4 linked regions of the Arabidopsis thaliana genome follow. The protein of the gene in region 4 interacts with the protein of the main gene of each other region in a pairwise test. Each region holds a gene or a part of one and is shown on either strand. Other genes may lie near its edges. The genes, in order: AT1G01260, TIFY8, NAC069 and JAZ3.

Region 1 (4,966 bases), on a different chromosome or scaffold from region 4:
CTTTTTTTTATAAGGTAACAAAATTAAGGAAAAACTATTGTTACAACTTCAACTTGCAAGTATGTTTCTGAAGCTAGAGTTTACAGTCACGTGTGAAAATCAAACCAATTTGGATCATTATTGAAGATAAATGAATACTTGATATATTGTTAGTACAAATTTAAACAAAGCGATAGGTTTAGTGGCATTCAGAATAAGTTCACCAAGAACCGGCACTACTTTATCCGGGATTAAATCAACTCTTACAATAGAGTTAACTGGACTAATAGGCCGATTTGTTGTGGTAAAACAAAACCAATGAAATATATGATAAGATTGAGATTTAAGAATTCAAGACTGAGTCCGTTGAACAGCCCATTCTAATTCTGATTGCTAGATAAGGGATAGATGGGGGGCATTATTAAGGTTTGGGAAAAAGGCTGATATCACGTTTGACCTAGCACATATGTGGCCCAACATTACAAGAATTCCATAGAAAACCAGTATTGTAATATCGGCCCATATTATATTCTTGACGACTTGGAGATATTGTAAGTCGACGTCGTTGTTTGACTTAGATGGGAATGGGACCCAAACGTCTCGAATAAAGGATAGTTTAAACACGTGAATCACGCGGTCCCCACTTTTTGCTGTGTGTTTCTCACCGCCATACATATATTATACCCACTCGTGACTTCATTTTCCATAATTACTATATATACTAATTTTTTGTTTTAACTTTATCGTTTGTTAAAGATTTTTCCAAAATAATATAGTCATTGTATATTCATTTTCGCAGAGCCGTAGTTTATATTTTGATGATAATTTTATGACTTAAAGAGTGAAAGCTATAAATATATTACAATTCAATTGTGGTTGCGAGAGAATAAACAAAAAGAGAAAGAGAAAAAAAAAACGTTACAGAAGAGAAAGTGCAGAGCTGTGCAGGCGCATTTGAAAATGAAATTAAAAAGAAAAAGAGATCCAAAGAAAATTAAATGCATCTCACGTTCTTCTCATTCTGGTCATCTCTCCTAAATCCACGTGAACTTCACGTGCTTTTCACGCCCTCCTCTCTATCGACTTGGCGTTTCCTTTCTTCTAAAGGAGTTGAATTGTTTTGTCAACATTTATCAAGTTATTTAGTAATTTGTTTTTTTGTTTTGTTTTTAAAAAAATTATTTACTCCCGTTGTAGAACCACCATCAATAATATTACCAAAAATAATAATCAAGGATCTAAACTAAAATAAGCCTTTTATTTTGTATAATTCTGAAAGCATTTGAAACTTAAGGAACAACTCTTTAGTCTTTGCAACAAAACAAAACACAACAAAAACCGAATATTTAAGCCTAACTTGAATGTGAATTGATTTGGTCAAAATTCCCGGTGCTTGACCACCGGTCTTAGTTGGCATACTTTGCAATTATGTAAACAAAAATTTTAAAAATTGAAAGCAAACTTCTAAATTTGGGTTTGGTTTCCCCTTTAGTTATTTCCATGAACATGAGAATCTAATCTCGAGTTGTCAGATAGTATTTGTTTAGATCTACACCAGTTGAGATAGATCTGTTGCAAATTTTTAATTAATCAAAACCCATAATTGAAAATTATGTCAATCAATTATTGACAAAAACCATGACATAATCTAAGGGGTTTTCAATCGTCGTGTATCAAAGACTCGAGACAAAGACTAAATCGAACCAGACCCGGTTTAAGTTTCTAAACTCAATTGTGTAGTTAAGTAGCTAACCATGGTTCAGATGAAAGTCTTTTTGTTTTGTTTTTTGTTTTGTTTGTTGGGGTTTGGTCTTTTAATAAAAAAGAGCACGAAGAACATGCGTCGGACTCTCTCTCTTCCTTGAATTCATTCAATTGGCCACGGCGACAAAACAGGGAGCCGATACAGCGAAACTGATACATCTTTTTTTATTTTCTGGATTCTTAGGGTTCTTTTTCGGGGAATTTAGGTAATTTGTTTGTCCATTTTGGTGGGGTTTGGGAGATTTAAAATTTGTGTTTTTTTTTGGGTCGGATTCTCAAAAATCTGATTTTGAGGAGAAAATCTCGGTGGAAGAGACTTGATTCAAATCTTCTTTACTGGTAAAAATATATTCTTCTCAATTCCTCATTTTCTGTTGGTGGAGTTTGATTTTTGTCATTTAATTGTTGTTAAAGAAAATAGGGGCAAGATCTGAGATCTCTGGGTGTTCCATGCAAAACTGTTATACTCCGCCGTATATTTGCATCTGGGTCACACTTCTAAACCCTATCATTTGACTTAAGAATCGATTTCTGAAGATCTGGGTTTCTTAAAAGTCTTTCCTTTTTGTTGGGATCCAAACAACAAAAGAAAAGAAAGCAGAGATGAATATTGGTCGCCTAGTGTGGAACGAGGACGATAAAGCGATTGTTGCGTCATTACTGGGCAAACGAGCTCTCGATTACTTGCTTTCCAACTCTGTTTCCAATGCTAATCTCTTGATGACTCTAGGAAGCGACGAGAATCTGCAGAACAAGCTCTCGGATCTCGTCGAGAGACCCAACGCTTCTAATTTCTCTTGGAACTACGCCATTTTCTGGCAGATTTCCAGGTCAAAGGCCGGAGATTTGGTTCTCTGTTGGGGCGATGGATATTGCAGAGAGCCTAAAGAAGGAGAGAAATCAGAGATCGTTAGGATTCTAAGTATGGGAAGAGAAGAAGAAACGCATCAGACTATGAGAAAGAGAGTATTGCAAAAGCTTCATGATTTGTTTGGTGGCTCAGAAGAAGAGAACTGTGCTTTAGGACTAGATAGAGTTACTGACACTGAGATGTTTCTTCTTTCTTCTATGTATTTCTCATTCCCTCGAGGTGAAGGTGGTCCAGGCAAGTGTTTTGCCTCTGCTAAACCTGTTTGGTTATCCGATGTCGTCAATTCGGGTTCTGATTATTGCGTTAGATCGTTTCTTGCTAAATCTGCTGGCATTCAGACTGTTGTTTTGGTTCCTACTGATCTTGGTGTTGTTGAGTTAGGCTCAACTTCATGTTTGCCTGAAAGTGAAGACTCAATCTTGTCTATAAGATCATTGTTTACCAGTAGTTTGCCTCCGGTTAGAGCTGTTGCTTTACCTGTTACTGTAGCTGAAAAGATTGATGATAACAGAACGAAGATATTCGGCAAGGATTTGCACAATTCAGGGTTTCTTCAACATCATCAGCATCACCAACAACAACAACAACAACCACCGCAACAGCAACAGCATAGACAGTTTAGAGAGAAACTCACGGTTAGAAAAATGGATGATAGAGCTCCCAAGAGATTAGATGCTTATCCGAATAATGGGAACAGGTTTATGTTTTCGAACCCAGGCACCAACAACAACACTCTTCTGAGTCCTACTTGGGTTCAACCTGAGAACTACACGAGGCCAATCAACGTGAAGGAAGTTCCAAGCACGGATGAGTTCAAGTTTTTACCTTTGCAGCAATCATCGCAGAGGCTGCTTCCTCCTGCTCAAATGCAGATAGATTTCTCTGCTGCGAGTTCAAGGGCTTCAGAGAATAATTCAGATGGAGAAGGAGGAGGGGAATGGGCAGATGCAGTGGGTGCTGATGAATCTGGTAACAACAGACCAAGAAAACGCGGAAGGAGACCTGCCAACGGAAGAGCGGAAGCTTTGAACCATGTAGAAGCAGAGAGGCAGAGGCGTGAGAAGCTTAACCAGAGGTTTTACGCTCTGAGATCCGTTGTTCCCAACATATCCAAGATGGACAAAGCGTCCTTGTTGGGAGACGCGGTTTCTTATATAAACGAGCTTCACGCGAAGCTAAAGGTCATGGAAGCAGAGAGAGAGAGGTTAGGGTATAGCTCAAATCCACCTATCAGCTTGGATTCAGATATAAATGTTCAAACCTCAGGTGAAGATGTCACAGTGAGGATAAACTGTCCGTTGGAGTCTCATCCGGCTTCCAGAATCTTCCATGCGTTTGAAGAGAGTAAAGTAGAAGTGATAAACTCGAACCTGGAAGTTTCTCAGGACACAGTGTTGCATACGTTTGTAGTCAAATCTGAAGAATTAACGAAAGAGAAGCTGATATCGGCCTTGTCTAGAGAGCAAACAAATTCAGTTCAGTCAAGAACATCATCAGGTAGATAGCCTTTTGAGAGACAGAAGAAGGTGGAAGTAAGTTTGTAATCAAGAACCGGTTTTGAATGGTTCTTTTTTTCTTCTAGGTATCTTTTGTTTTTACCTTTTTTTGGTTATATACCTGTAAGAATCCTCCAAACTAGGATTTTAGAAGTTTTATTGACAAAAGTAGACATTATCATTTACTCGTTTTACAGTGGACAAAGCTGGGAATTAAGTAATTAACGATAATGTTGTATCTGTTAAAGTCGTAGACTAGCTCATGAATCAGTCTTTATTCATTCTGATATGTCCTATGTGTTGGATTTGGTGAAGTGTTTAATCGACAAGTCAGATAAGTGTTATGGATTGGTCACGGAATTGCTCAAGAACAACAAAACACAGCTGATTCATTGCTTGTGAACAAGAGGAAACACTATGATGTTCGTGCACACCATTTTTAGTGTTCAAACTAACATAAACCGTTATCGCCTGGGGAAAACAAAAGTTTTAAGAAGAGAAACAGGTGGAAAATGTAACAAAAATAAAAATAGGTTCCACCGAGACTTGAACTCGGGTTACTAGATTCAGAGTCTAGTGTCCTAACCGCTAGACCATGGAACCGCTTGATGTTTAGATTGCAGTAAATACGTTTTTAATATGTTTCTCTATTGTGAGTCAAAGGGTAATGCGATGTTTCTTTCTAGATTTCCTAAGCTAACTCAGTCCTAATAAACCGATTAAAAAGAACATGAACAAAGCATGCAGATCATAAAAGTGTCACACAAAGAGAGAGATACATGTTAGATTGTTTTTTTTTCTTCTCTTAAATGATAATTAATCGTTCTAACAAAAACTTAGCTACTAGTCTTCCATG
Region 2 (5,063 bases), on a different chromosome or scaffold from region 4:
TTTGACAGTTATCAAACTTTTGAGAGTTTGTGACACGTACGATACAGACACAAAATCAAATCTCCCTCTCCGACCATTTTTTTTTCTTAGTTACATAAATCTCTTTTCCTTCTCCAGCAACAGAAGAATTCTGCTCGATAATAGATTGGTAATCACAAAAAGAAAAGAAAAAGTGTTGGAGATCCTTCCGAGAGAGACGCGACATCTCCTTCCTCTTCGAAGATGAGTGGTACTGTGAAGGATATCGTTTCAAAGGAGGAGCTTGATAACTTGCGCCACAGCGGAGCACCACTCGTGCTTCACTTCTGGGCTTCTTGGTGTGACGCTTCGAAGCAGATGGATCAAGTTTTCTCTCATCTCGCTACTGATTTCCCTCGTGCTCACTTCTTTAGGGTTCGTCGTCTCTGTTCGAATTTTATCTCTTTCAATTGGTTTTTGACTTTGATTGGTTTTATTTATCTTCTTAGGTAGAAGCTGAGGAACATCCTGAGATATCTGAGGCTTATTCTGTTGCTCTTGTGCCGTATTTCGTCTTCTTCAAGGTAAACTTTAGGCATATTGATTCTTTGTTTGGTTGCAATTTTTTGGCTTATTGACAAAGCTTGAATCTTTGTCACTGCACTGAATCCTTTTCTTATTGAAGGATGGCAAAACTGTGGATACACTTGAAGGGGCAGATCCATCAAGTTTAGCTAATAAAGTTGGCAAAGTTGCTGGTTCTATTACTCCTGCAAGCTTAGGGTTGGCTGCAGGGCCAACGATTCTTGAAACTGTTAAGAAGAATGCGAAAGCTTCTGGACAAGACCGAGCTCAGCCTGTATCTACCGCTGATGCTCTCAAGAATCGTTTGGAAAAACTCACCCTGTTATGTTATTCATGAATGGTACTCCTGAAGAGCCTCGATTTTTAATATCTATTGAGTACTTTCTTTATAGTTGGAATTCTTGTGGATATATATCAGGTAGCTACTTGGAGCAAACATGTTGCTAAAGTTGACCTGCTACTGTTGTTTGAAGAACACGTGCTATGTCTTGTCGTTGAAGGAATTATGTTCATATGGGAAGAACATAAGCCTACTGGAAAGTTTACCCCTAGCTCTATTGTTAACCCAGATACTTGAGCCTCCATATCACAAACATCTAGTTAAGGTTTGTGTAGTAAGAACAAGAAAAACAACACGTGTTCCCAATTCCCATATAAATGACCATTATACTTCTATCAACCCAATTAATCACAGTCCGGAGACTAGTTGATTAAAAAATCAGCTAATACTAATTTGGTGGTTTCAATAAACATCTTAAATACTCCATAATTAAACTAGATTAAAGTGGGAAAAATCGTCATGAGTAGTTGTAAAATCGATTTCATTTAAGAGTATAGAAATTCGTCATGAGTGGTTGGTTCATGAGTTCTCTCTCTTACTCATATTAGAGTAAGAAATCAAACACTTATAATCATTCAAAATTCAACAACTCTCATCTCAAAACCATATATTTAGGTAAAGTTATATGCATACATTTTGCATTTTAATTTTAAAACAGATTATTTGGCGCGTAATGATAAAATTATGTGTATAAAAATTATTTAACTAATCGATCTAACAACCACATATGAGTAAAGTAGTTAACATTGTACTACTACACCAAATTATAGTGTGTTGGTTAGATTAGATACACAAACTCACTTTCTCAAATCAATAACATTATGAATCTATGATAACCTTAATTTAAAAAGAGTCTATAATGCCATGATTTTACAATCGTACTTTTTTCTTTTGGGCTGAACTTTTAATCATATATTATTTGAAAGATGTGATTATTATAATATTAAAGGGAATTAAAATCATGTAAGAGAAACCCAATAAAGTAGCTTGAAGAAGAAAAAGACAAGCTTTATTATACACTTACCCAGAAAAACAAAAAACAAAAAACTGATAATATCTCTCTCTCTCTCTCTCGTTGAGTGTGTCCATGAAATAATACTCTGCCAGAGACAGAGAGAAAGACTGTAACGGAGGATGTGGTGGCGAAGTGGCCACACTGACACACTGGTTTCATGATGGTGAACCACAACAATGGCCAGCGACCCACTGATATTGATTCTCGTCTCCGACAGACAGAACAAGATAAGCTCTTGTTCCATGACTTTTTAGGCTCCAAGAATCCTACTTTAGCATCCACTTCCATGGCTGACCATAGGCTACCACCGGATAATAAGGCGGCTAAAGCGGCGATGACTCCTTCCACGGCTTCTGCTTCCTCCGCCGGTGGACTCGGCGGTCTCTCCTCAACCTCCGATCTCGGTTCTGCTCTGTCTCTCTATCTCTCTCTCCTGATGTTTTTGTTGTTGTTGACGTAGTGTGCTTACGCTGATGAGGTTTTGAGCTGATTCCTCTGTACATTTAGGGTTTCTATCTATAGAAAGTTCAACTTTTGTTACATAGATTCGATTTAAAGTTGGATTCTTTCTTTTCCCCCTAGTCTGGATTAACGATCGAGCTTTGATTCACCATGATTTGAAAATGTAAGAGATCATGTGAGTTAGTTTCAAATTTTTTAGTCAATTCATTTATGATTAGATCTCTTAAGTTGAAAATGGAACATCTTTGGGTTCATAAGGTTGAACAAAATGTGAATGTACATTGTCTTGTTTCATTTCTTGCCTCATTGCTTTTTTAGTTCGACAATTTAAGAAACATGAACATGGATTGTGTGTGGGCATGTGGTTGCTTGACCTCTTGTAGTGTTAAGGACTCTCCCTCTCTCTCTCTCTCTCTCTCTCTCTCTGCCCAACCATAATGCCCTCTGGTGGATTAGTTGGGACATTGAGAGTGAATTTGACTGATGAGTTTGGTGGGTCATAGCCATTTGAGGTTGTGATCCTTTTTTATATGAATTGGCCCTTCTTTATTGCCTCTCGTTTTCTCTCTCTATCTCCTTGAGTTCCCTCCCACAACAATCTTTAAGTTACTTATCCATATTTTATCATTGTTTAGTCGAAAGACACAGCGGCGGTGGGAATCATCTTGATGGGATACAATTGTTTGGACCAAGAAGTGATGTTTCTGGCTCAATCATGAGCAATCGGTTTTCAGGAAATAAGAGAAGTAACTCTGATTCTCACTTCACGACTCAGGAGCACCCAGAGACTCTGCATTGGTCCAAGGTAACTAAAAAAAAAACAGAACCTACACAACTTCACCATGGTCACAGCTACGTAGAACTCAGTTTCTGTAATATGTCATTGTCATAACCTAGTTGCTTAGAAACGGACCTGGAAGCTTCTCCATGAATGTGAATCCTTTGGCAAACCAGCCTCCACGCGGAGGAGGACAGATCAGTCATTTGCTTCATCAGCTGTCTACTAGCAGGTTCAAAGATGAGAACGTAGGCCCATCAGTTATTGCTCAGACAGCTGCTGATGAAGGTTCACGAACAGGGATGAAAGGTCCCGGTATCTTGAGTTCTTTTACAATGCCAAACTCAAGCAAGCTCGAAAGTTTTGCCCCTTCAAAGTCAGTTAGCTTCTAGTGTTTTGTGTCTCTGGTCTTTCGATACTCTTCGAGTCATTTCAATACACTTTGTATTTGCAGTACCGGAAATCGGAAAGACTTGGCGTCGAGTACTAAGCAAATGACCATCTTCTATGGCGGTCAAGCTCATGTCTTTGATGACGTTCACCCAAACAAGGTGATTCTCCCTAACACTTATACACTTGATATTCAAGTTATTTGACTACATTTTGATATCTAAAAAGGTAGAGAATTGAGAAGTTCATCTGATGAATGTTATTTTTTTGCAGGCGGATGTGATAATGGCCTTGGCAGGATCAAGCGGAGGCTCATGGTCTACGGGTTTGTCTCATAAACCGAAGTCGAAGAACAACACAAGTGACGGTCCATACAAGCTAGGCCAAATGTATGAAGGAGGCAGCTCTAAGGAAACACCACAAATGCCCCCGGAATTTCGTGCAAGGCCGAGTCATCAACCTACCTCCAGTGCCTGTCACCGGATCTTTACACAACCAGGTGACTTCTTTTTAAAGAAAACCAGATTTCAGCAGAAATTTTGGTTAGCTTCTTACAAATACTGAGTGGAGTAGAGTAATCAGGTCTTATTTTGCATTGTGACATAATAAAATGAGGATACAACAGTAAAGAGTTATCAACTGTTCTGGGTTTTATCAACTTGAATCTGTTTGAGGAGCCATAAAACCATGTACATGTATGATTTGCAGGTAGAGAGCATCAAGGAAGCATCATCTCAAGGGGACGAGATATCAGAGATCCGGTTCACAGATCAGATCCTGAAAAAGAAGCCACATGATTAAAGTCTGAATATGAGAGACGATGAGTGTGGCTGTTCTTCTAAGTTGTTGTTTTTTTTGTTTTTTTTTTGTTTTTGGTCAACTTCTTCTAAGTTGTTATTTGTTGACTTGATAGCTTTGTACAATGCTCTGTACCTTTCTAGGTTTGTATTCAAACTCATCTCCTCAATGATTTAGAGAATAATATTTTCTCATAGCTCATATATAAACATATTGGTCAACCAAACCTACTATTTCTAGGCCTATCGATTTTCGTATATTTCCATGTAAGGCTGAGCATATGGATACATCACATCACAAGAGAATCATATCTAAATCAACTCTGGCTCTACTCTGGTTAGCTGTAACTCGAAAGGAGAGTCACTTCATATCACCTTATTCAAACCCTTCTTCGAGTCAGAGGTGTTCGTTCATGGCAGATATATGACTTCTCAGCCTCTCATTCTTAGTACATTCCTCCTGCCATTGAGAAATTTAGCACTACGTAAGTAGATGACTCTCGGGCTTTTCAGTATAAACACTTATTTCCTATCTTGTGCTAACCTGGTATGCTCTTAGTACAGTGTAGCATTTTCTTTGCTCTGCAGCTGCAGCTATATACTTTTCTTTTGAAGCATCACGGAGCCTCTGCTCTTCTTGAAGCCCAAGTTGTATTTTTCCAATCTTCTGCACTTTAAACATTTTGTTATGACAAATCATACAGCTATAGATAGGTAAGATGGGTTAGTTCATGCTTT
Region 3 (4,956 bases), on a different chromosome or scaffold from region 4:
TTTTTATTGTGAATGAGAATGAAGACGTGGCAAATTATTGACGGTTCATTGTCGGAGCTTCGAACGAAAGTATGAACCTTTCTCTTTTCCTTGTTTTTTTTGTGTATTTTGAGTCGAAGGATCTTTCGGAAATTATAGCCGCCACCATCGACGACGACGACATGGCGTTATTACTTTCTCTACTTCAATATAGTACTACTACTAATTTTGTAAAATATATGTCTATGGATTTGGCTTGCAAGATAAGGGATTAAAGTTTACAAAAAACAAGAAAAAGGTTCATAGAATCATATTACATAGTTGTAAGTAATATGATTGATTGATTGATTGATCATCGAAGTAATATTTGATTGATTGATCATCGAAGTATCAATCACATTAGACCAGTCCCTTGTCCGGTATGTAATCATTCTCTTAATTATCAACAAACCAAATCTTTGAGAAACCTTTCAAACCATTCACTGGTCTCTGTCGAATGTTTTCTTTATCAGCAGTCTAATGCTCCACCACGGCACTGAACTATGGACCCGCTCTAAATGTTATAAAATTTTCAAACCCTAAATTTTATTTAACTTTAGGTACAAGACATACCTCTTGGTCATACATACACACACATATATACATCAAAATTTCGGAAGAAAATAGAAATAAATAAAAGCAAAGTAAAAACGAGTGCTTTGATCAATCTGCTAGCTTTTGTCTATCTCTCGCGATCAAACTTCATCGCCGGGTTCAAGTTTTGTAACACCGATATGATGTTGCTAATGAGAGCCAGCAAGAGAATGAAGCCTATGATCATTCTCATGAGATAGATATACCGTGGATTGTTGCGGTTTCTCTCCATTGCTTCCTCTGTAATAAACCAGCTCTTCTTCTCTGTCTTCACCATAGATGACTCCTTGTCTATGGATGTATCACTATCAACCGCTCTTGATGTATCTTGTTTCACCTGTGAAGGAAAGTTACATAATCATTATCTTTATATATCCAACATATGTTGAAATCATATAGAATCAACATAAGAGCAACGCAAAACCTCTTGTTTTGGTCGTATGATGCTTCGTGTGAGTTGAGATTGCCGGGTGCTACTACTGATGGAAGGTTCTCCATAGGTTTGTAGATCATTGCAAGACGATAGAATCTCATCTCCACCAGTCTGGAGAAATTGTCTATTCGAACTACCAACACTATCATCACCTGGACTTGATGTTCCTTGGTAACTCTGACATAATATAATCAAAATGTGAGAATGGAGATTACAGCACAGAAGTAACGATAAAGAAAACGGGTGATTTGCTTTACCGTTGCAGATATCGATTCAGCATCACTATTACTATCACTGCTATAATCAACAATAATCCCTGACAAAGCCTTCTTTGGCCTGTGATCGTTGCGGTTCTCGGTCATAGATAAGGTTGGTCTGGATATGAAATCTTCATTGGCAAACAAATATTCAACCTGCTCTCGGTTAACATGCCTCAATCCACCGAGAAACTCATCATCATTCGGGGTTAAGTGAGGAGCTTGTGGATGCACAGTAGGATTGTTATTGTCACTGAATAACATGTCTGGATCCAGTACATCCCACAAAGAGAAATCTTCTTGTTCATTCTTTGGAGTCCCCAAATCATCCACAGACATACCAAAGAAATTTTCTTGACCTGGCTTCTCAAACTGAAAATGTAAAAGAGAGTTTTGAGTAAACGAATCAAGTACATGAGATTATCAAATAAAGAAACTGGAGTCACCTCAAGCGCTGTGGGACTCGTAGCTCTGACAGTATTCGAATCAGAGACCAAAGATTGACTCGGCTCACTCGAGTTGTTACCACCAGATGGGACGTCTCCATCTTCACCCTTATACATCACTTGGCAGATAACATAGTTCCTCTGAACAAATTCCAAAAGTACACACACACATAAGTTCTTTGCCAACAAAACAAAAAATCAAACACACATAACTCAAACAATCACAAGCTTTGGCAGAAGTAAGAACACTAGGTTACAACTTCTATACATAGCGCTTAAAACTCTGTGACAACACAGAACGTACTAATGATAGCAACCAACACAGGGGAGATTACAGTAATATATTCAACACAGGGAAGCAAATACACTAGCCTTCTAGGCCACAACTTCTATATATAACACTTCAAACTCTGATACACAGAACCTAAACTTGATGTACTAAGCATCATAGGGAAAAGATAAGTCAAACCCAAATCTATTCTTACAAGAACATGACTTTAACCTCAAATTGGGATAAAGATAGCAACCAACACAGGGACAGATGAATCAAACCCAAATCCAATTCAAGAAGATCAACTAACAGAAACATAACGCTAAGTCAAACTAACACAGAAGCTCAAATTCAAGAAACTCTGAGTTTATTATACCTGATCTTGAGGCAAACAAGTGATGTGATACTCATGCATAACCCAAGGAGTCCAAACACCTTTAGGAACTCTACCTTCATAATACACAAGCGTCTTCTTTATCCCAATCTCGCCGCGATTACCTCTCTTATCTTTGATTTTCCTATCAACACCAGTAGCTTTCCAATACCCTGAACTTGTAGTCCTCTTCGTTACCTTCTTCTTCGCAGAAGTATACTCCTTTGGACAGAAGAAGTACCACACAGGATCATCCGATTTTATCTTCGATAAAGCTACAACAACCAAACAAATCCAGAATTAGAAATGACCGATGATGAGACAACGATGATGATTTTGAAGTGAGGAAACTTACAAGGCAAGTAAATTGGGTCGTAACTACAGATGTTGATCTCGCTAATGGCTTCGTCGACGAGCCAAGTCTTACCCAAAATTTTGTTCTTTAGATAATGGTTTATCAATTCCTCTCCCGTTGGATAAAATCTATACCCAACCAGATCTTTCACCATTTTTTTTACACAGAAACAGATCAAATAACAAAACTTTTTGAATCGACACTGAAAATTTTTTAGTGTTTGAGTTTTAAGGGCTTTTTCTCACTTCTCTGTTTCTTTCTTTTTTCCTCTATCTATTATTGTTTTTTCTGAAAGACGAACAGTACTAATACAGTTGGGGTGAAGAAGAACCATAAAAAAAGAAAGAAAGATATTTGTGGCGGAATGCAGTAAAAGTATATTAATGTTTTTCCCCTAAACGTTGACAAATGAGAGGGACAAAAAAATATTTTAATTGTGTATGAAGTAACACGTGGCAGTAAGAAAAATTGTTTGAACTTCGAACCGAAGTTTCAGTTTTTTTTTTTCCTTTCCGAAGGATCTTTCTGGAATATTATAGCCGACATAATTGACAACATAGTAACATACATATACGTAATTACGTTCTATACTACACCTAAATAATCGTAATTAATTTTTAGATTTGTTTTTGTCAATCCTATTACATTATCATTAGAGATGTTCAGGATTTGAATGCTTACGGCGGTAAAAACGGTCTATAATTGATCCGCGACGATTTTCTTTTATTTTTCTTAATCTATAATCTTACATACTCTAATTTATAAATGGTAAATCAAAAACGGTCTAATTCGCAAACGGATTTATCCGTCTCAACCACCGTAACCATTCACATCCTCAAATCTAATCCTATTATTATGGTGATGAACTGATGATCGTAAAACTATTAATTATGCAACATAAAGGTCCACTTAACTACTAAACAAAATCCAATATTACTGCTGTAGATTCAAATGCTCGATGTCGATATATACCAAACCAAACAATCATAAGTTTAACCAACTATATATAGCTTAGTAAAAAACGAGGGCCTATATTGTTGAAACAAGTACTCTTACGATTGTTTCGATGGCTCATGGCTATATTGAAAAAAGAAATGAGAAGTTTTAAAGACATACAATTTTGGACGGAGGTAGGGAAAATTCGAAAATGCAAAATAAACACAAAACTTGGTGAAACTCGGAAGACAGCAGAATTTATAAGAAGAACCTTCTCCTGCTCGTGTCCATTTCAGGCTGTAATGAAATACAAAAAAAAAACACATCAGAAAATAAAATTAAAAATCATCAAAAACTCTAAAGAACAGCAATGAAGCTGCTCGTGTCCATTTCTGGTGATTTTACCTTATGAACCCATTCAAATTCTCCACCTTTGGTGTCAAAAGTTCCATGCTGTAGAGTAACTAGCTTAAGCGTGAATCGAGGACCGCATTCCTAAAAATCCAAAGTTTAATGATACAAACATTGATAATGTTGATTACTTTTTGATTCAACATGGTCAAAACTGACCTGAAGACGAGGTTTTATTGTCTCTTCTTTTCCTTTATCACTCTTGCTTTCCTTTGTCTCAAATATGTAACTGGATAGTGTTGAAATTTGTTCAATAAAAAGTTTTATTGGAGAATGGAGCAAAAGCAACTCGAAGAAGAAAAGGTGAAGTTATGTACCGGTGATGTCTGAAAAATATAAAGTCACGCTGGTTGTGGAATGTTACAACTCTCCTACCACGGAAATTAGGATCCGGAGGGAAGAGTGATTGAAAAAATCTGAAAAAAGGAAAAATCTAACATCAGCAAGAAATTCAAAGAGACCATAAAACCAAGTCAACAACACTATGAAAACTATACCTCCCAACACGATTCCCTAAACGCGTTGTAAAGTTATTCAAAACCAGTTCTGGTTGATGGCTTGTAGGATTTCCGTGATTCTGCAGTTACATTTAACATCCAATTCAGTGATCACTAATCTACACTCGATGTAGAGAAGAGTAATGGTTAGCTTACATACCTTAATATCCTTCCTTAGAACAAGATTTGACAATTTGAAATGAGCAGTAGGACCATTTGGCAAACCGATGATAAGAAGCGCATCTACATATGAAATAGCAAAAGCTTGAAACAAAGCATATACAGTAGAGAGCACAAAACTTGAAACTCAGTGAAAACTAACCAGGTTCTCTACGATTTGTATGAACAACAATAAGAGATGTAAA
Region 4 (5,558 bases):
CTGCTCGACGAATCTTCTCAGCTCAGCTACTTGAATCGCATCCACCATCGAATTCCGCCTTTTTCTTCTTCTTTCTATGAAAAGCTTAGAAATCAGTGAATCCTTGTGATCGTACGGAGCTGTGTCTGCTCGTATTGGTTTTGATTAGACTGAAAAACGTTGAAATAATCATCGCCGAAAACCGAACATGTCCAACCGGTTTTGTCTTCGCGTTAACTTAACCGCGACTGAATTCATATCCGGTTTATCATCTTTTGCAACATCCCTTTTCGTTGTGCAATAAGACATTGGGCCTTGATGGGCTACAACACAAAATGGCCCACATATTGAAATTAGGATGTTACAAAGAAACTCACAGCCAAAACGAAGACCGAAAAATAATTAGCCAAAACGAATTAAAGCAAATTCTAAAAGATGTTCCATTTTCTCCATATATAATGATGACTTCTTTTGTGAATTCGAGTTGGTAACTGGTAATGTATCAAGCTTATTGTTAACCAGAGTACAAATTAGCAAATCCTATTAAAAAAATCCCCATATTTGAATAGAAAATTGATTAGAGAAATAACTTAGGGAAACAGAAGCGATGCAATTCCATTACATGAATTATACATATGCGAGCTTCAGTGATATATACAAAAGAACAGAGTTAAAAAAAAAGAAACAAACAGTTTCTACTAATTTTCCCAAGTACATATCTGATATGCTCTCATAAGTTCCATTCCACCAAAAAACATGTAAACAAAGTATACACTATCGTATATATAAAGCTAAGGAGAAACTCAGTGTGGCGAGTGAGGAAAAATTAACTGAGACATTGAAAAGACCGCCATTGAAATGCAAATATGGATGTGGAGTGGTCTAAAGCAACCTTCTTACTGTAGATGAAATTAGGTTGCAGAGCTGAGAGAAGAACTAATGCATTCAGACATTGATCTGCGACAATCTGTCGATGACTTCTTGTCTAAGCAATATGGGGATACGCTCGTGACCCTGAGAAACCCACAGCGAGAAAGAGAGTTAGCCCAAGAAACTATTGAATGGTGTATTCTAAAGAAGTGTTGCGTACCTTTCTTTGCGTTTCTCTAAAAACCTAGCCAGGGATGCTTTGCGAGCCAGAGGTAATGCCACTGCATAAGAAACAGAACGAGAATGAAGTTACATCCATGAAAATACTAGTAAGTTAGATGGCGAATGTAGTATCAGGTCTCTGACTTTGTTTTTTACCTGTTGGAGCCATTACATTGGTAGAACAAGAAACTGGTACTGGGCAGTTAATATTGGATCCATTAGCTTGGTTGTTGTGATATGTTGACGTCAAGCCTCTTGTCGCTTTTGTGGCTCCGAGTCCGTTTGTGCTACTTCCAGCTTCAGGGCTAAGATAAGATATTGTAGGCATGAAGCTAGGAGGCATAGCTGAAGAATCGACAGAGGCACGAGTATGATGGACCACTTGTTGATGAGTTTGAGGCGGCGAAAAGACTTGAGGCATAGAGGAACCGTTCCCAGCTAGCAACATTATCGCCTTTGCCTGAGAAATGAAAGAAAGCAAATGAGTACCATACCTTACGAGTAAAAGAGATGCATATATGGAAGAAAATGATTGAGATACCTTTTCAGGAGATATGTCATCGTAAACACAAACTGAACCGGCATAAAAGATCGTCAACTGCGCAGGTGAACCTATTGGCTTGGAAGAAGATCTGACAAAAATAAGTCTTTAGTCAACTATGAAAATGTAGAAAGAGTTTCTGTATGATATGATGACTAGTGGGTACCTAATATCAGTAGTCCCTACAATGGAACCTGGAGGAGGAAGGATTGAAATTGGAGGTGCCATGATAGGAACTCCTACCAAAGGTTGTGAGTTATTGTTATTGTTCATGAAGCTTCTTCCTCCTGGTGCATAATGATGAGACTGGAAACCCGGCATCGACATGGAAACTGCGTTAGTTTCTTCGTGTTGATTGGAATTAGGGAACATCCTCACTCCCTGAGAGTAACAAGCCATAAAGTAGGTGTGAGGCATTGTATGAACTAACTTATCAAAAATGAGAAGCTTAGCTTACACTTAAAATGAATCAGTATTAAACCAAGATTAGATCCACAAACTAATTGCCATGAACTTGTGCTAAACTAGACTCAAAACCAATTACTATATGCTCATAAAACAGGGCTCACTTTTAAAGCTATCTTGCGAAGGATAAAAAAAACACAAGGGTCTTGGTTAACATAGGTTTTGATGACAAATACCTGTACAGAACTGTAAGGAGCTTTGCGGGTTGAATCATAAACATCAGCTACTGATGATGGCATGAAGGAACCAGAGTGAGGAAGATGATAATTTCCAGACTTTCTATGTCTATCTTCTTGAGTTGGCCTGAAGGATAGAAACTGAGAAGAAGAAGCTGATACTTTGTTTGAGAAAGACCAGTTCATTCCTCTGTTGGGAGCTACAAAAGAAAAAGAATAAAAGATAATCAGTTTAAAGTCAAACATGTAGTGTTAACTGTTAACCATAAATGTCTCGAGATCTCCTTACATAAACAACAGAGGATTAATTCAACACCTACTTCAAGGAAAAGATTAGTAACCAACAATGTAGAATCTGATACTGTTGACAAATTCAACGAGGGAAAACCACTTTCGAAAACCGTGTCTAATTCTAAAACATTTGATTGAAAGTCATTGTACGAAACTCCAATAATTTAAGTTTGTTTTAATAGTTTAAATTAAAGAGAGATTCAAACTTTAACCCCACCACACCACACCACATGTTGATGCACTACTTTTATGGTGTGGCACGTTTTGGCTGATAAGAAAACAAAGTTGAAATAATTATATTCCTCGTGGTGAGAAAACTATTATTTCCACATTGTACCTTGAACAATATTCTAACGCAAGTTCCGCTTAATCAACACACAACACAAATACACAATCAATATTTTAATAATCTCATAAACTAATCCAACTCACACAATCAAGAAGTTAATCATCTTATAAACTAATCCAACTCACTCTTTTGAGTATATTTAATCTTTCTACCTACTACCAACCGTCTCTATTTTATCATTTTTGTATCAGTCTCTATACATCCCCTCTTTTCCAACATTTTACGTATTCGTTTTTTTTTTAGTATAAACTAATAAAGTATTTCTCAATTATAAGACTCTTCAAACAAAACAAAAAAATTTACTCTAGTAAAAAAAAGTTTACCGAGTTTAATTATGTTAGAAGCTTGAGATTAGTTCTCGTTAATTTCTCCGACCGAAAGCATGTTTAAGACAAGGCTTTGGAAAAGAACACTAGTTTTTCCAAATCCAAATTCTACATCTCCCGAGAAAAGCAAAGGACAATGTTCTGCTCCAAGCAACAAACTGACAATTCCAGTTCCCGAGCAAGCCATAAAATCAGCTATCCAAAAACAAATTCCATACTACAAGTAGTCCTAATAACTCCTAATCAATCAAACAAATCTACGATTTAAAAACAATCAGAATCAGAAAAATTGAGAAGAGTAATAAATAACCTGAATCTCTAGAGCTTTCGCTGGTTTCCTCCTTGACAGTGATCGGAGAATTTTTCGAACCCAACCCGAGAAAATCTCTCTCCATCTATAATAAAGACACAGCCCGCTACAAAATTAATTCGATCTCAAATGTCTGTTTCGATTAAAACGCGTGTTAAACGCCGGAATCAAGCTAAATAGAGCTTCGCCGGAAAAAGGAAAAAAAACAGAGACTTTTGAGGGAGAAAATGAAAAAACGTGGAATGAAGTTAATTCACCGCAATTTCTAGTTTTATTAACAAATCGCATGCGACATGTGAATCGTACCATTAATTTATAACTATAACAAGAAAAAAAAGATTCTTTTTTCTCATATCCTATTGGCGCAAAAACCAGCTACAGGTTGTCCCGGTTACGTCACCGGATATAGTCGGTTAAAAAGGCACGTGCATCGTCGTGCAGTGTGTGGCGTTTCTTTTTGTGGTGAGACGCGTGGCGAGGCACGTGCGCTATTTTAACGTGAATGATTCACGAGATGCGAAGCGGCAGTTTTAATTTATTTTTTTATTCAATGACAACACTTTTTTTTGTCGGCTGACGCGCTAAGTGTAGCGCGTGAGTCTAACCCCCTTTTTGTCTCACCGCTCAATCTAAAATAGTAAAATTAGTTACACTACTTTCGTGCACGTTCTCTTGACCAAGATAAACATTTGCACGTTGCATTTTTTTGGCAAAATATATTAATTTGTATTTTAGTACTATATTTTTAATCTTTGATTAATCGGATGGTACTATAAAGTAATTGTAAAGATTAGACTTTCATAAAATGATTTAAATACAACAAAATAATTGTTGCGGAAATTTAGTTCCACAACTAAACATTATTAAGCTAAATCTAAATCCTCATGTGATTATGTCATCACTCTAATATTATTTTTTTTAATCCAATTTTTAATTATTTTTTCTGTCATTGTACTTTTATTAATATTTTTCGCGAATTATTAAAGAATGTTGCTTGTTGCTTAAACTATACTTGTATTAATTAAGGTAATTATTGGTACCAAAAAGAAAATATTACTTTAATGTACATATTACTAAAATCACTCGTTGACATCGTTTTTGTGTATTTATAAGATGCATGTGGTCCGGGGGAGGAAATTACGCCATTTCGTGCGTCACTTTCTTCTTAATTTAGTAAAAACTAATACTATACTAAATTTACTAATGTTTTAAAACATATCTAATTATCTCACAAATATAATAATAAAGTTTTCATTTTTTTATGAAAATGAATATTTAAAATTCAAATCTATAGAAAAAATGGAAAGGAGTCAATGATCACAACAACTTGACGATCTCTAAACAAAAAAAAAATTGACGATCATCTCCCACGATAACATCGTTATTTCGAGTCTGGGGGATATGCAGCACACGTCATTTTCTCCAGCCTAGAATTTAGATATTAATATCACATTATTAAGAAAATACTACACTGCAGTTTATTATATACACAACATTCCATATAGATAATAGATCAGATCAGATCAAAAGTGGACCTACAAAGCGAAGATTATATCAAAAGATGCCATAAACGCATCTCTCACGCTATGATCCACATAAAACATCCGAAATTTAATTCTGTTTTTACATCCGACATTTAATTCTTGTTTTCTGTTTTTACATCATTTAATTCTGGTTACCACGACATTTTTTTTGTTTTAATGGTATTAGACTCTATATAGACATACAAAACTCAAAACAAAAGATTCAATGATCACCCCCTACCAAAAAAAGAACAGATTAAATGATCACGAGTTGGCTTAACAACGAAAACTTTTCTCCAACCAAAACCAAACTTAACTATTCTAAATCAAACTCAACAGCAACAGCAACGTCTGTTTACAACAACAACTTAAATAATTTTGTATTAAAATCGAATGAGAGTAAATAATGGCAAAGAGAAAATCAAATGACATATGTATATGCATGATATATAGCGCAGCATTTAACTATATTTAGACTGACTTGAGTAGTTGCAATATTTGGCTCT

Evidence for each region.
Region 1: the proteins of JAZ3 (region 4) and AT1G01260 interact in binary tests that used the Arabidopsis thaliana proteins (3 or more experiments, as listed by UniProt).
Region 2: the proteins of JAZ3 (region 4) and TIFY8 interact in binary tests that used the Arabidopsis thaliana proteins (3 or more experiments, as listed by UniProt).
Region 3: the proteins of JAZ3 (region 4) and NAC069 interact in binary tests that used the Arabidopsis thaliana proteins (3 or more experiments, as listed by UniProt).

The regions. Positions count from the first base shown.
Region 1 is NC_003070.9:107,249-112,214, forward strand, and holds AT1G01260 (basic helix-loop-helix (bHLH) DNA-binding superfamily protein), read left to right. Parts: upstream 1-1,697; 5' UTR 1,698-2,082; exon of another isoform or gene 2,083-2,157; 5' UTR 2,158-2,346; coding exon 2,347-4,119; 3' UTR 4,120-4,451; downstream 4,452-4,966.
Region 2 is NC_003075.7:15,715,695-15,720,757, reverse strand, and holds TIFY8 (TIFY domain protein 8), read left to right. Parts: upstream 1-1,890; 5' UTR 1,891-2,055; coding exon 2,056-2,302; intron 2,303-2,995; coding exon 2,996-3,165; intron 3,166-3,257; coding exon 3,258-3,514; intron 3,515-3,592; coding exon 3,593-3,689; intron 3,690-3,801; coding exon 3,802-4,027; coding exon of another isoform or gene 4,028-4,092; intron 4,093-4,098; exon of another isoform or gene 4,099-4,236; coding exon 4,237-4,325; 3' UTR 4,326-4,526; downstream 4,527-5,063. Other genes in the region: AT4G32580 (Thioredoxin superfamily protein), read left to right, coding at 223-393, 468-542, 644-880; AT4G32560 (paramyosin-like protein), read right to left, coding at 4,723-4,785, 4,870-4,992. UniProt on the Arabidopsis thaliana protein: Repressor of jasmonate responses.
Region 3 is NC_003075.7:673,325-678,280, forward strand, and holds NAC069 (NAC domain containing protein 69), read right to left. Parts: upstream 3,122-4,956; 5' UTR 2,902-3,121; coding exon 2,748-2,901; exon of another isoform or gene 2,668-2,747; coding exon 2,396-2,667; intron 1,890-2,395; coding exon 1,749-1,889; intron 1,675-1,748; coding exon 1,303-1,674; intron 1,223-1,302; coding exon 1,037-1,222; intron 950-1,036; coding exon 701-949; 3' UTR 538-700; downstream 1-537. Other genes in the region: MEE49 (Ribosomal RNA processing Brix domain protein), read right to left, coding at 3,942-3,980, 4,089-4,178, 4,254-4,323, 4,412-4,510, 4,592-4,671, 4,752-4,834, 4,914-4,956. UniProt on the Arabidopsis thaliana protein: Transcription activator activated by proteolytic cleavage through regulated intramembrane proteolysis (RIP). Involved in salt stress response during seed germination and seedling growth.
Region 4 is NC_003074.8:6,118,024-6,123,581, reverse strand, and holds JAZ3 (jasmonate-zim-domain protein 3), read right to left. Parts: upstream 3,876-5,558; 5' UTR 3,615-3,875; coding exon 3,530-3,614; exon of another isoform or gene 2,500-3,529; coding exon of another isoform or gene 2,454-2,499; coding exon 2,254-2,453; intron 1,994-2,253; coding exon 1,779-1,993; intron 1,704-1,778; coding exon 1,613-1,703; intron 1,532-1,612; coding exon 1,228-1,531; intron 1,131-1,227; coding exon 1,070-1,130; intron 994-1,069; coding exon 891-993; 3' UTR 538-890; downstream 1-537. Other genes in the region: TDX (tetraticopeptide domain-containing thioredoxin), read right to left, coding at 1-48. UniProt on the Arabidopsis thaliana protein: Repressor of jasmonate responses. Jasmonoyl-isoleucine (JA-Ile) specifically promotes COI1-TIFY6B/JAZ3 interaction. Acts as a negative regulator of MYC2 function. Feed-back regulated by MYC2.